Linked DNA regions of Saccharomyces cerevisiae S288C. Changing the gene in region 1 together with any one later gene gives a genetic interaction. Each region holds a gene or a part of one and is shown in the gene's direction. Other genes may lie near its edges. The genes, in order: YMR090W, PAU13 and MNR2.

Evidence for each region.
Region 2: mutations in YMR090W (region 1) and PAU13 together harm fitness more than expected from each alone (negative genetic interaction), as found in Saccharomyces cerevisiae (one large-scale study listed by BioGRID).
Region 3: mutations in YMR090W (region 1) and MNR2 together harm fitness more than expected from each alone (negative genetic interaction), as found in Saccharomyces cerevisiae (one large-scale study listed by BioGRID).

Annotation. Positions count from the first base shown.
Region 1 is NC_001145.3:447,280-450,510, forward strand, and holds YMR090W (uncharacterized protein), read left to right. Parts: upstream 1-1,965; coding exon 1,966-2,649; downstream 2,650-3,231. Other genes in the region: m-AAA protease subunit YTA12, read right to left, coding at 1-807; NPL6 (Npl6p), read right to left, coding at 2,779-3,231.
Region 2 is NC_001140.6:11,348-14,169, reverse strand, and holds PAU13 (seripauperin PAU13), read left to right. Parts: upstream 1-1,884; coding exon 1,885-2,247; downstream 2,248-2,822. Other genes in the region: DFP4 (DUP240 family protein), read right to left, coding at 1-605; PXP3 (Pxp3p), read right to left, coding at 1,321-1,668.
Region 3 is NC_001143.9:315,831-321,223, forward strand, and holds MNR2 (putative Mg(2+) transporter MNR2), read left to right. Parts: upstream 1-1,933; coding exon 1,934-4,843; downstream 4,844-5,393. Other genes in the region: DPC7 (Dpc7p), read left to right, coding at 124-345; YET1 (Yet1p), read right to left, coding at 607-1,227; YKL063C (uncharacterized protein), read right to left, coding at 5,185-5,393.

The DNA of each region.
Region 1 (3,231 bases):
TGCTTTCTGAAGTTTGTGTTCGAAGCTATCAATTGAACCAATTGTGAAATAATAGAAGTTGCGACCGTAATTGTCGGCTTGGTTTTTTCCGTTGTCATTTAACATCACTTTCACCATGGACTTGTTGACAACAATCAACTTCGCAACATAACCTTTTGCCAATAGTTTCTCTCTAAAATCCTGCCACGTTATCTCACTTTGCTCTTCCAAACTGTTGAGGAGATCCAATAAAAACGAAAGGAGGAAAAAAGTTAGTCCTATCTGGAATAAGTTAACATTTTTCGATACAGGATTACTAGGATCATTTAGAGGTGGTTTTGGGGGAGGAGGTGGTGGTGGCGGTGGAATATTTCTGCTATTGTTACCTTCAAAGTAGCCCTGCTCTTTTGTTCTGTTTGACTTGGCTTTTGAAGGACCATTTTCCTCCTCTTTTTCCTTTCTTTCTTCTTGAATTCTGTTAGATTCTTGTTTCAATACAGCATCTTCTAAACGCCTAATACTTTCATCAATTTTGCGTTTCTGTTCTTTCCAGTTAGCCGGTATAGTATTATTTTTAGTTTGTTCGATATATTTTTCTACTTGTTTTCTTATTGCTTCAACCTCTTCGTCTGTGGGAATTTCTTTGTTAAGTTTAGCGTCTTCGTTATTGTCCTCGTTCTTGTTACCGCTCTTATTCTCTTGCAGCCTATTGAGTAGCCGATATTGAGTATGTAAACTCTTGATATGGGTCAAGCCGTAATAGGACCGGAAGCGAACGGGCCTTCTAACTACCTTAGTAGCAATTCTTGACCAAGAAAGTAGCAACATTAGTACTCTTTCTAACTTTAAAGTTGCTTGCCAAGACTCTTGAGTGTGCTATATTGTATTCGTTGGCAGCTCAAAATCTTTCCTTTAAAACTATAGTGGCAAAAGTTAGAGATCGTTTTCACGAGAAAATGATGGGGAAAAATGGACCAAAAGACAAATGTATTCACAATGTGACACCAGATAGCTTGGTGATTAGTATATAGATCTTACAGGACACCGAATAATACCAGAAGGGACTTTCTTATTGAACGAACCGATATGTGCATGCGTTATCCTATAAAGAAATACGTCCGGATGGGATATTCAAACAAGACGCCGGACAAAATAATTCACACATATGGAGGATGTTACGTACATGAGCACAAGACGAACCGTACAAAGAGAAACATACATCATCACTCAGACGATAAGATCATAAATTAGCAGATGACACTTTAGTTTATTCTCTTTGGTAGGTTTTCTACAATCAGAATTATCTAACGGCGAACTTCTGTAGGCAGAGTTTTCGCATCGCCCAATGAGATAATGCACTTTCAAAAGACCACGCTGCACTTGCATCAAATTGGTTTACGAAAGAGCAAAGTCGAGGATTAGCACATTCCGTGTGCCCATACGTTACCATTTTTGACAAAGTTGGCAACATCAAGCGAGACATATCTACAAATATACGTATCAGAATTGTACCCGAAGTATTTCTGGTTATATTCGTTGCTAACCATTTTAACGTATTCAGCCTAGTAGCCTGCAAGAACTATTAATACAAATCGTGAAACAGAAGTTCTTTGAGTTAAAGTACAAAGACAGACAACAGCCCTCGGTGAACCTGTTGGTGTGTGTTTCCTGTATCACAAAACACAAGCGAGCAAAGAAATACGACGTTATAGCTTTTAATAATACGACGAGACAATGTTAGTGGCCGTAATAACTTTCCAACAAAAGTACTTTCCAAACTTTGCTGTTACCTCTGTGATTGTTTAGTACGAAAATTGTATCGCGCTGTCAACAGCAAGGGGCTGCAAGTATTACGTAAGGGTACACTCGAAGTAGGGATATATATTTAAAGTCCCATCGTGACGCTCATAATAGGATACTTTCCCTCCAAATAAAAATTCATTGAAGTTATATCATCGGTATTCATATATTATTGACTTAACAGCCATGTCTCCTATGAAAGTTGCGGTTGTCGGTGCCAGTGGTAAAGTTGGACGTTTATTGATAAACCAATTGAAGGCCAACGATAGTTTCTCAACACCATTAGCGATTGTTAGAACACAGGATCAAGTCAATTATTTCAAGAATGAAGTAGGTGTTGATGCTAGTTTGACAGATATAGAAAACGCGTCCGTTAGTGAGATCACAGACGCTATTAAGGCTTATGATGCCGTGGTCTTTAGCGCCGGTGCGGGTGGTAAAGGAATGGAAAGAATTTTCACGGTTGATCTGGATGGCTGTATCAAAGTTGTTGAAGCATGCGAAAAGGCTGGTATCAAAAGGTTCGTTGTTGTTTCAGCGCTCAAGGCGGAGGATAGAGATTTTTGGTATAACATTAAGGGTTTGCGTGAATACTATATTGCAAAGAGATCTGCTGATCGTGAGGTTAGAAACTCTAATTTGGATTACACTATTTTACAGCCTGGATCGTTGGAACTAAATAAAGGTACCGGTCTTTTGCAACCCCTTGACAAATTAGAAGAGAAGGCTTCTGTTAACTACTCCATTAACAGGGAGGATGTAGCTTCTTTTATTGTGGAAAGCTTGCTACATCCAAATGCAACAGTGAAAAAAACCATTTCGTTGGTAAATGGCAACGAGCCAATGGAAAAATTCATTCAAAGTTTGTAGATCAACCTATTTACGCGTGAAATGCATATGTAGATGAATAGTCAAGAAAAGAAAAAGAAAGTGAGAATATATGAATTTTTTTACCTTGATTTGAAGATAAAAATTTGTTATATTGTTACATTGAGTATACTAAATATATTCGTTGCATTTTTCGAAATTTTGTTGTTCGGTGATAGCCCTTAAAACGTCTTCATCAACAACGTCTTCATAGATCTCTTTCGGGATTTCCGACAGTCCCGTTTTCGGTTTATTCAAATCGTTATCGTGTATAACGGTCTCATACACAATGCTTGTGTCGCTGGGACTATCGTTTTTTGATCTCCTCCATCCTAAAACAGTGGTTGACTGTGTGGATTCTGGTATGTGTAATATATTTGTGTATGCATCTCTCAAGCCTTGTTGATCTACAAGAAGAACCTTCACTCTATCATAAAACAAATCGCTATTAAATCTACTACACGCAGCAGAATGCTGATAGAGCCAATTTGTAGAGCTCAGCTTACTACCTGATGCAATAATATTAGAATTACTCATGTGACCATGTGGCCTGTGTTCAAAGAATTCCACCTGGTTTTTTGCAGG
Region 2 (2,822 bases), on another chromosome or scaffold:
TGTAATGAACTATTACCAGAATCGTTAATGTTGGTTGCTCCATTACTTCTCATCTCCAGATCAGCATATATACTATTCATATTGGAATTCACAAGGTACGGGGTAGCCACCAACTTTTTAAAAACCTGATAGCAATAACTGCCATCGTAGAAAAAAGATCTATCTGCACATATACGACGGTCATATACAAATTGGTTCATGTCATATGCAATCCGGTCCCATGTGCTCAAGTCCATGTTAGGTTTATGTGTAATGACTTCCGCTAATAGTTTGAACTTACAATCATCATCTAAACATCTTAACTTATATCTTGAGCAGCTTAAGTAAGGTAAGAGGAGTAAAAGGAATAGTGAAATTGTAATTAGTAAAGCCGCTAAGATAATAATCAAAGTATTACCGTGTGCAGATAATGCCAGGCGGTTTAAGATTATGGTAATAATAATATGGATGAAAATATATGAAATGAATACGATATTCTGTTTTAAGAAATAAGCGCATTTGCTGGGGGTTATGTCCCTTGGAAGGATCACTGTCTCACCTTCGCATAATTTTCTTAATCCTTCTGGTCTTGGTTTAGAATTAGATATTAATAATTCTGAACTCATAGCCTTAGCGGGCCCTCACTTGCTTTTGAATTTGTCTTTATACCACAAGTTAACAATTACATTTTCTATATCCTTTTTATATTGTTATAATTCGGGACTTAAAAGCGGGAATATCTAGAACTGGGAGGATTGCATCATTTTTCTTGGCCCGTATGTTTTTCTTCGAGTTTTGGCCGCAAGACGAGTAAGAAGAGGACAGAAATAAGTATGTTGCATAACTTTTGTAGAATTTACCAGAAAAACTCCAATATAACTTACTTCATTATGACATATAAGCTAGATCTTGATTTCTTTCGTCAACATACTAAAGCACGCTATCGGAGACTTCTTCAAACCCTTTCTTATGAGAACACTTAGCTGACTGTACATTTAAGAAGCTTTAGAGATGAGCCGTCACCATGAATATAGCGATGGTTTTGTCTACAAGGAATACCAACTATTAATACCATTTCCTACAGAAAGTTTTTAATTGAATAAAATACATTAGCGCCATATATTGCCTTTTTCACTTTTCTTTATATCTAGCTAGAAGAAAAATACTGTGCCTCGAAGAATAAATTTTTCCCACCGCACAGAGTTGTAGTACTGCTACAAACTGAACTCAACATTTTTTTTTTACCATACGCGGCTCTTCCAATACTAGCTGCTTCTCAGCGGCCTACAATTACGTAATTGCGTCAATGAATTTCCTGAGAACGCTTAAAAACTACAAACTCTACAAATAAGCGACTCCCAATACACGTTTTCTATTTTTAATTAAACTATCAGGAGAGGGATAATATAGTATTACCTCTTCCATTGGAGGCTGTTTACAGCAAATTGAATATGGGCTTAAACATAAGAATCTGTACGAGGGTCCAAATCTAAAATTCGGATATTCTTTTTGACCGAAAACGGAAACTTCAAAGGCACGGAAAAGGGTTTTATAAGGCACTCTGGCACCCCTATAATAGGCATTCCCACATTCTGCGCATACGAATAGACAAAGGCCCCAGAAAACAATACCTTCGCATACGGAATCTATAAAGATGCATGCCTCGTTTAAAAACAATAACATCTTCATAGTGATAATCAAATTCTGTGAAAGATGAGATATGGAGAATATGCGAGGTACTAAATGAGCGTCTGTTAACGAATCGTTTAAGTAGTGATGACTGATGAAGGCATGGGTATAAATAGAGCTGCTTCAACTATATGCCTTTGAGAATATGTCTTTATTCCTTCCCTTCCTGTTAAGCTTATATCAGCACTAACAAACATAACAAACATAACAAATACAATGGTCAAACTAACTTCAATCGCCGCTGGTGTCGCTGCCATCGCTGCTACTGCTTCCGCAACCACCACTCTAGCTCAATCTGACGAAAGAGTCAACTTGGTTGAATTGGGTGTCTACGTCTCTGATATCAGAGCTCACTTGGCCCAATACTACATGTTCCAAGCCGCCCACCCAACTGAAACCTACCCGGTTGAAGTTGCTGAAGCCGTTTTCAACTACGGTGACTTCACCACCATGTTGACTGGTATTGCCCCAGACCAAGTGACCAGAATGATCACCGGTGTTCCATGGTACTCCAGCAGATTAAAGCCAGCCATCTCCAGTGCTCTATCCAAGGACGGTATCTACACTATCACAAACTAGAGACAAACGCCTTTACGAATGAAATTCCATAAAACTTAAAAAAACAAAAAAAAAAAAGCTTTTTTTTTTGATAGTATAAATAGTTGATTATATTAATGTATACCAGTATTATAAAACCTACTTGATTATTCATGCCGTTCTTATCAGAAGTATTTACTGTAGTGGTAAAATATAGTGCCTTGATAATCCAATAGTCTTGTCTGTCTAAAAGGCTTCAGTTGAATACCTTCTTTCGTACATGTTGCTATTTCAGGGTATCGGGCCGGAGCATTTACCATTTGCGGCGTAAATGCTAAAGTTAATAAATCTGAGTCTTCCTGTTTTATGAGTCAGATGGAGGTGTAACGCAAAGAGTAAGTTAATCACAGAAAAAGGTTAGTATCCATTACATATTTATGTTATAGAACATATATGCGTATAGAGACAGAAAAATTGTTTAATAATAAAATCACCCACGCTTGCGTAAGACGTCCTTGAAGTCTTAATTAGTCCAGCTATAGTTATTAGCTATACCAATTGAAGAACCAATCGGTCGAGCGTTTTATATATCAGTAGAAAGCAAGCCTCTTACGAAC
Region 3 (5,393 bases), on another chromosome or scaffold:
ATTTCTGGCGGAATGTATATATTAGACTTGCAGCTGAGTTTTATCGCGTACACTATTCTAGGGACTTTGGACCTAACTCTGACAACAAAAACTCAAGTAAAAAAAAGCTTACATTTTTAAATGATGAGATCTAATATTTTGAAATTATTACAACGGACAAGTAGGAGATATGTATCCTCAAAGGATTTTGAGCCTGTGATAGGGTCTAATCCTAAGAAACAAACATCTAGACTAATGGTCGGTTCTGTGGGTGTTATGATTCCAGTTCTACTTTATTTGTTTTATAAGAACGATAGCAAACATAGTGAAATTAAAAAGATATACCAAAATGAGAAAAAAATTTAAAAAGTTGTTATATAAGGGTTTTCGTATATAACACAGAATGGTAAACCGAGTCACGAAGCTCAATCTTTTTTTTTTATGTCTTTCTCTAACGTTTTTTCGTCTATATTCAAAAAAAATAAAGTTGGTAACATATAATGCATATATTCATTTGATCTAATCGCTTGCTTTTTATTTCAGTAGCATTTTCGTATTGCGTCGCGACCAGAGAAGTATGAGCACCAGAGGTAACACGTATATACATTTATACATAAATATATCTATTTAGTTTCCTTTCTTGGAAGCTTCAGCAGCTGCTACATTTCCAGGTTGATTCTTCTCATCAAAATATTTCTCCAGGTTTTTGACTTGCTTTTGTAGGCCCTCCAGAGAAATTTGCTTTTTCCTTAGTTCCTCTTGAAGTTTGGTGGAATCAGCTTCATTTGAGTCTTTCTTGCTGTTTGAGGAAGGTTTGTTCAATTTTTGCTTTTCTTGTTCGTTGATTAAGCCTTGGTATTTCACCAGTCTCTTGACAATAGACATGACAGTTGGGATACAGATAGAAAAGTACAATATGAACCCGGAAATATACATATTTCTTTGATTGTACGCTCTTGATGCTAGTGCCTGTATTGGAGTTACAGCAGATGACCCGATTGAGCCACTGTTGTCGTTGTGGTATAATGAAACACGAATTTGAGACCTTTTCCATGAATCAATAAACAACAGGCCAACAAGACAACCCGTTATAAAGATTATAGTTTTTATTTGCTGCTTCGCTGTCAATTGGTTATAGGTGCTAAAAATACCCCTACGGATCCGGAATGGCAAAGGCAAAACGAAGATGAAGAGCATTACCATCTCAACAGTGAGCAATAAAAATAATGTCGTAAAGTATAAACTCATCGCAATATTATTTATTCTTCTCGGTTTTCAGTACTTGCCACTTTGCGAAAGGATAGCAGAAAGGAGCGTTGCAATGAACGAATAGCTTTAAACCAGAAACTATACAAGGTCCCACTTGGCATATATTTCTATTTTTGCACTGCGCCAGAGGGTTTAGTAGCGCCCCCTTTATGTTAACGTATCCTGTGATATAGCATGCAGCTGCGGGTTACATGTAAATTGTTCAGGGCATAAGCAGTACGTATCGAGGAGGTAAAAGACGTTGCAAGTAGGTAGATAGTACAATATAGATAAGCCCAACAGTTTGCGTACGCCTTAAAAGTAGTGGTGTTCTGCGTTTATGTTCTCTCCCTTCTTTTCTATCTAGGTTTTTATGGCGCACTTAAAATATTCTGCTGCTTCAACGGGCGGCGATCTACGGAGAAATTTTTGGCATAAAGTCAAACTTAGAAAGAGCACATAAGCCATAACTTCTTTTTGATATGTGAAACCTAGCCCAGGTTGTCGTTAGTAGTACCTGGCCCTTTAAATATATTTTTGTACTATCGTATACTTGTATAACTATTCATCATTTTCTGGTTTGGTAGTCCGCATTTTTTCATTTGATGACTAAGTTGTACGTATTGCTACACTGAGTTTATCCCCTTACTTCGACAGTAAATTGAGAGAATAAAAGTGAGAAGTGTAGAGAAGAAAAAGATTAAAAATGAGCACTGATAACTCACAAAAGGATGAAGGTGTTCCTTTGCTTTCCCCTTACTCTAGTAGCCCTCAACTAAGGAAAAAGAAGCGCAATCAAAAAAGAAGAAAGGACAAGTTTGTTGGTCACTTGAAGTCAGACTCACGTAGGCCAACGCAACTGCTGCATGATAATCTGCAACACAATCACGGCCAGATTACTGATTTCGACCAGATCGATTCCTGGGGCATGCTGCATGAATCTGATTCTACAAGTAATGATATAATAAAAAGTGAGGATCCATCGCTCAAGGGCGCGTTCATTGATCATAGACCTTCAATGAGCCAACCTAGGGAGGGGCCTCAAAGTGTATCAAGCACAGTTCAACCACAGCCAATAATGAAGTTTTCAACACCAAGTTACAAGAAACCCGCAGGGTTAAGACCCTCTGATCAGAATAGATCATTAGTATCGGACTTATCCCCTTCAGAGCTTGAATCATGGCTGAAGAGAAGGAAATCTGTTCATAAGAGTTTTGTTGACGAAAACTCCCCCACCGATAGGAGACAATCGAACGCGAATAATGATGTCGTGATTGATGTTGATGCGTTAATGAACCATGTTAACAACAATGCAAGTACTGGGGTTAATGATAACAGCAAGAGAAGAAAGAAAAAGAGGGGTTCTGATGATAGTAGCAACAAAAATTCCAAATCCACATCCAGTGATTCAAACGATGAAGAGGATGAGTATAACTCAAGGCCATCTTCTAGTCTTTCTTCAAATAACTCTTCTTTGGATGACGTTTGTTTAGTGCTTGATGATGAGGGTAGCGAAGTGCCAAAAGCTTGGCCTGATTGTACTGTTTTGGAAGAATTTTCCAAGGAAGAAACAGAGAGACTAAGAAGTCAAGCTATTCAAGATGCTGAAGCTTTCCACTTCCAATACGATGAAGATGAGGAAGATGGAACATCAAATGAAGATGGAATTCTTTTTTCAAAGCCAATCGTAACTAATATTGATGTCCCTGAATTGGGAAACAGAAGGGTAAACGAAACAGAGAATTTGAAGAACGGCCGTTTAAGGCCAAAAAGAATTGCGCCATGGCATTTGATTCAACGTCCAATGGTCCTTGGGTCCAATTCAACCAAGGACTCAAAATCAAGAATTCAAAGCGGATTACAAGATAACTTACTAGTCGGCAGAAATATTCAATATCCTCCGCATATTATTTCTAATAACCCAGAACATTTCAGGTTCACTTATTTTAGGGTGGATTTGGACTCTACTGTTCATTCTCCGACAATATCTGGTTTACTGCAACCTGGTCAAAAATTTCAAGATTTATTTGTCGCTTCTATATACTCCCAAGATAATAGCGCTGGTCATATCAAGACACATCCAAATTCTCCAACACCTGGTATAAAAGCAGAAACTGTATCTCAACTCCAGGGATTGACAGCTAAAAACCCTTCCACTTTATCGTCTATGTCTGTGGCAAATATAGAGGATGTTCCTCCATTCTGGTTGGATGTCAGCAATCCTACTGAAGAGGAGATGAAAATATTAAGTAAAGCTTTCGGAATTCACCCTTTAACTACAGAAGATATTTTTTTGGGAGAAGTTCGTGAGAAAGTGGAACTATTTAGAGATTATTACCTGATTTGTTTTAGAAGTTTCGATATTGTAGCAGAAAAGCATGTTCGTCGGAGGAGAAAAGAAAAGCAAGAATCTGCTACCTTGGATCATGAAAGTATTTCACGTCGTAAATCACAAGCCTATGGTGCTACTATGTCAAATGAATCAAATGCAAATAACAATAACAGTACAAGCAATGCAAGTAGGAGCAAATGGCTTCCATCGATTTTACGTGCACGCCGTCGGTCATCTGCAAATAGAACAACCAATACATCATCATCAAGCTATAAACGCCGTGTCAAAAGCGAAAAGAAAAAGATGGAAGAGAACGAAAAATTCAAAAGAAAATCAGGAGACAGGCACAAACCACGTGAGGGAGAATTAGAGCCATTGAATGTTTACATTATTGTTTTCAGAACTGGTGTATTGACGTTTCATTTTGCTCCCACACCACATCCTATTAATGTTCGAAGAAGAGCAAGACTACTAAAGGATTACCTTAATGTTACCTCTGATTGGATTGCGTATGCCTTAATCGATGACATTACAGACGCATTTGCCCCTATGATAGAACTTATCGAAGATGAAGTTTATGAGATTGAGGACGCCATTTTGAAGATGCATCAGTCAGATGATTCTAGTGATAGCGATTCTAGCGATAGTGATTCCGATTCGGGCGCTAGCGATGAGGATGCATTTCCGTTCGATGTCTATTCTAAAAAGACGTCCTACTCTAGTGCAAAATCTAGTGTGAGTTCAAGAAGTATGAGCACTTCTGAAGCGTCATTCAATGCAAATTTGATAGGTTGGAAGAGAAAAGGAGATATGTTGAGGCGGATTGGTGAATGCCGTAAAAGAGTGATGAGTATACTAAGATTGCTAGGATCCAAGGCTGATGTGATAAAAGGATTTGCCAAAAGGTATAATGAGCAATGGGAAGCTTCGCCACAATCTGAAATCGCAATGTATTTGGGTGATATTCAAGATCATATTGTAACCATGGTCTCATCGCTAAACCATTATGAAAAACTGTTAAGTAGATCGCATTCAAATTATCTGGCACAAATCAACATTGATATGACGAAGGTTAATAATGACATGAACGACGTTTTGGGAAAAATTACCATACTGGGTACTATTGTTCTGCCAATGAATGTGATTACGGGTCTGTGGGGTATGAATGTTATCGTGCCCGGACAATACAGGGATTCGTTGACATGGTTTATAGGCATTGTGCTTTTTATGTGTATGCTAGCATGTTCTGCATATATGTATACTAAGAGAAGATTCGGGTTTTAATTTAAGTGTTTTTTCGCGCATTAGCGCTTGCTTTTCCTTCGATTTTAATTATCAGCCTAAATTATTGTTGTCTTTCCCGAAGGATAGAATTGTAAATTATCAGCGCCGTATCGTATACTTGTGGTGATAAATATCTTTAATCTATTTATGTTTTTTTTTTTTTTTTTTTTCGTGTCTGGTTTCTACATGTTTGTGAACGTTCTGCATATCTTTATGTACGTACACAGTATGTTAGTATGCACTTATACTATACAAAGAATAAGGGAGGTGAGGTTAATCAATAAGGTTAACGTAAAACATTTATTATTTTCATCACCAAACTGTTGGAAGTTTTGAATTGGTTAATTATCAAGGATTTCATTGTTAGCCAAATTTTCCTTGGCGAGATCTTGTTTCTCTTTCTGGAGTTGCTGTTTTTGTTCTTTTTTGTCCTTGTTTATTTGTTTTTGCTTTTCTGAATCAATTTGTGGTTTCAAATCGTTCTCCAAATTCTTTACTTCTTGTTGCTTTGCGACTTCATTATTGAACTTTTCTTTAGGTACTTTAGCTT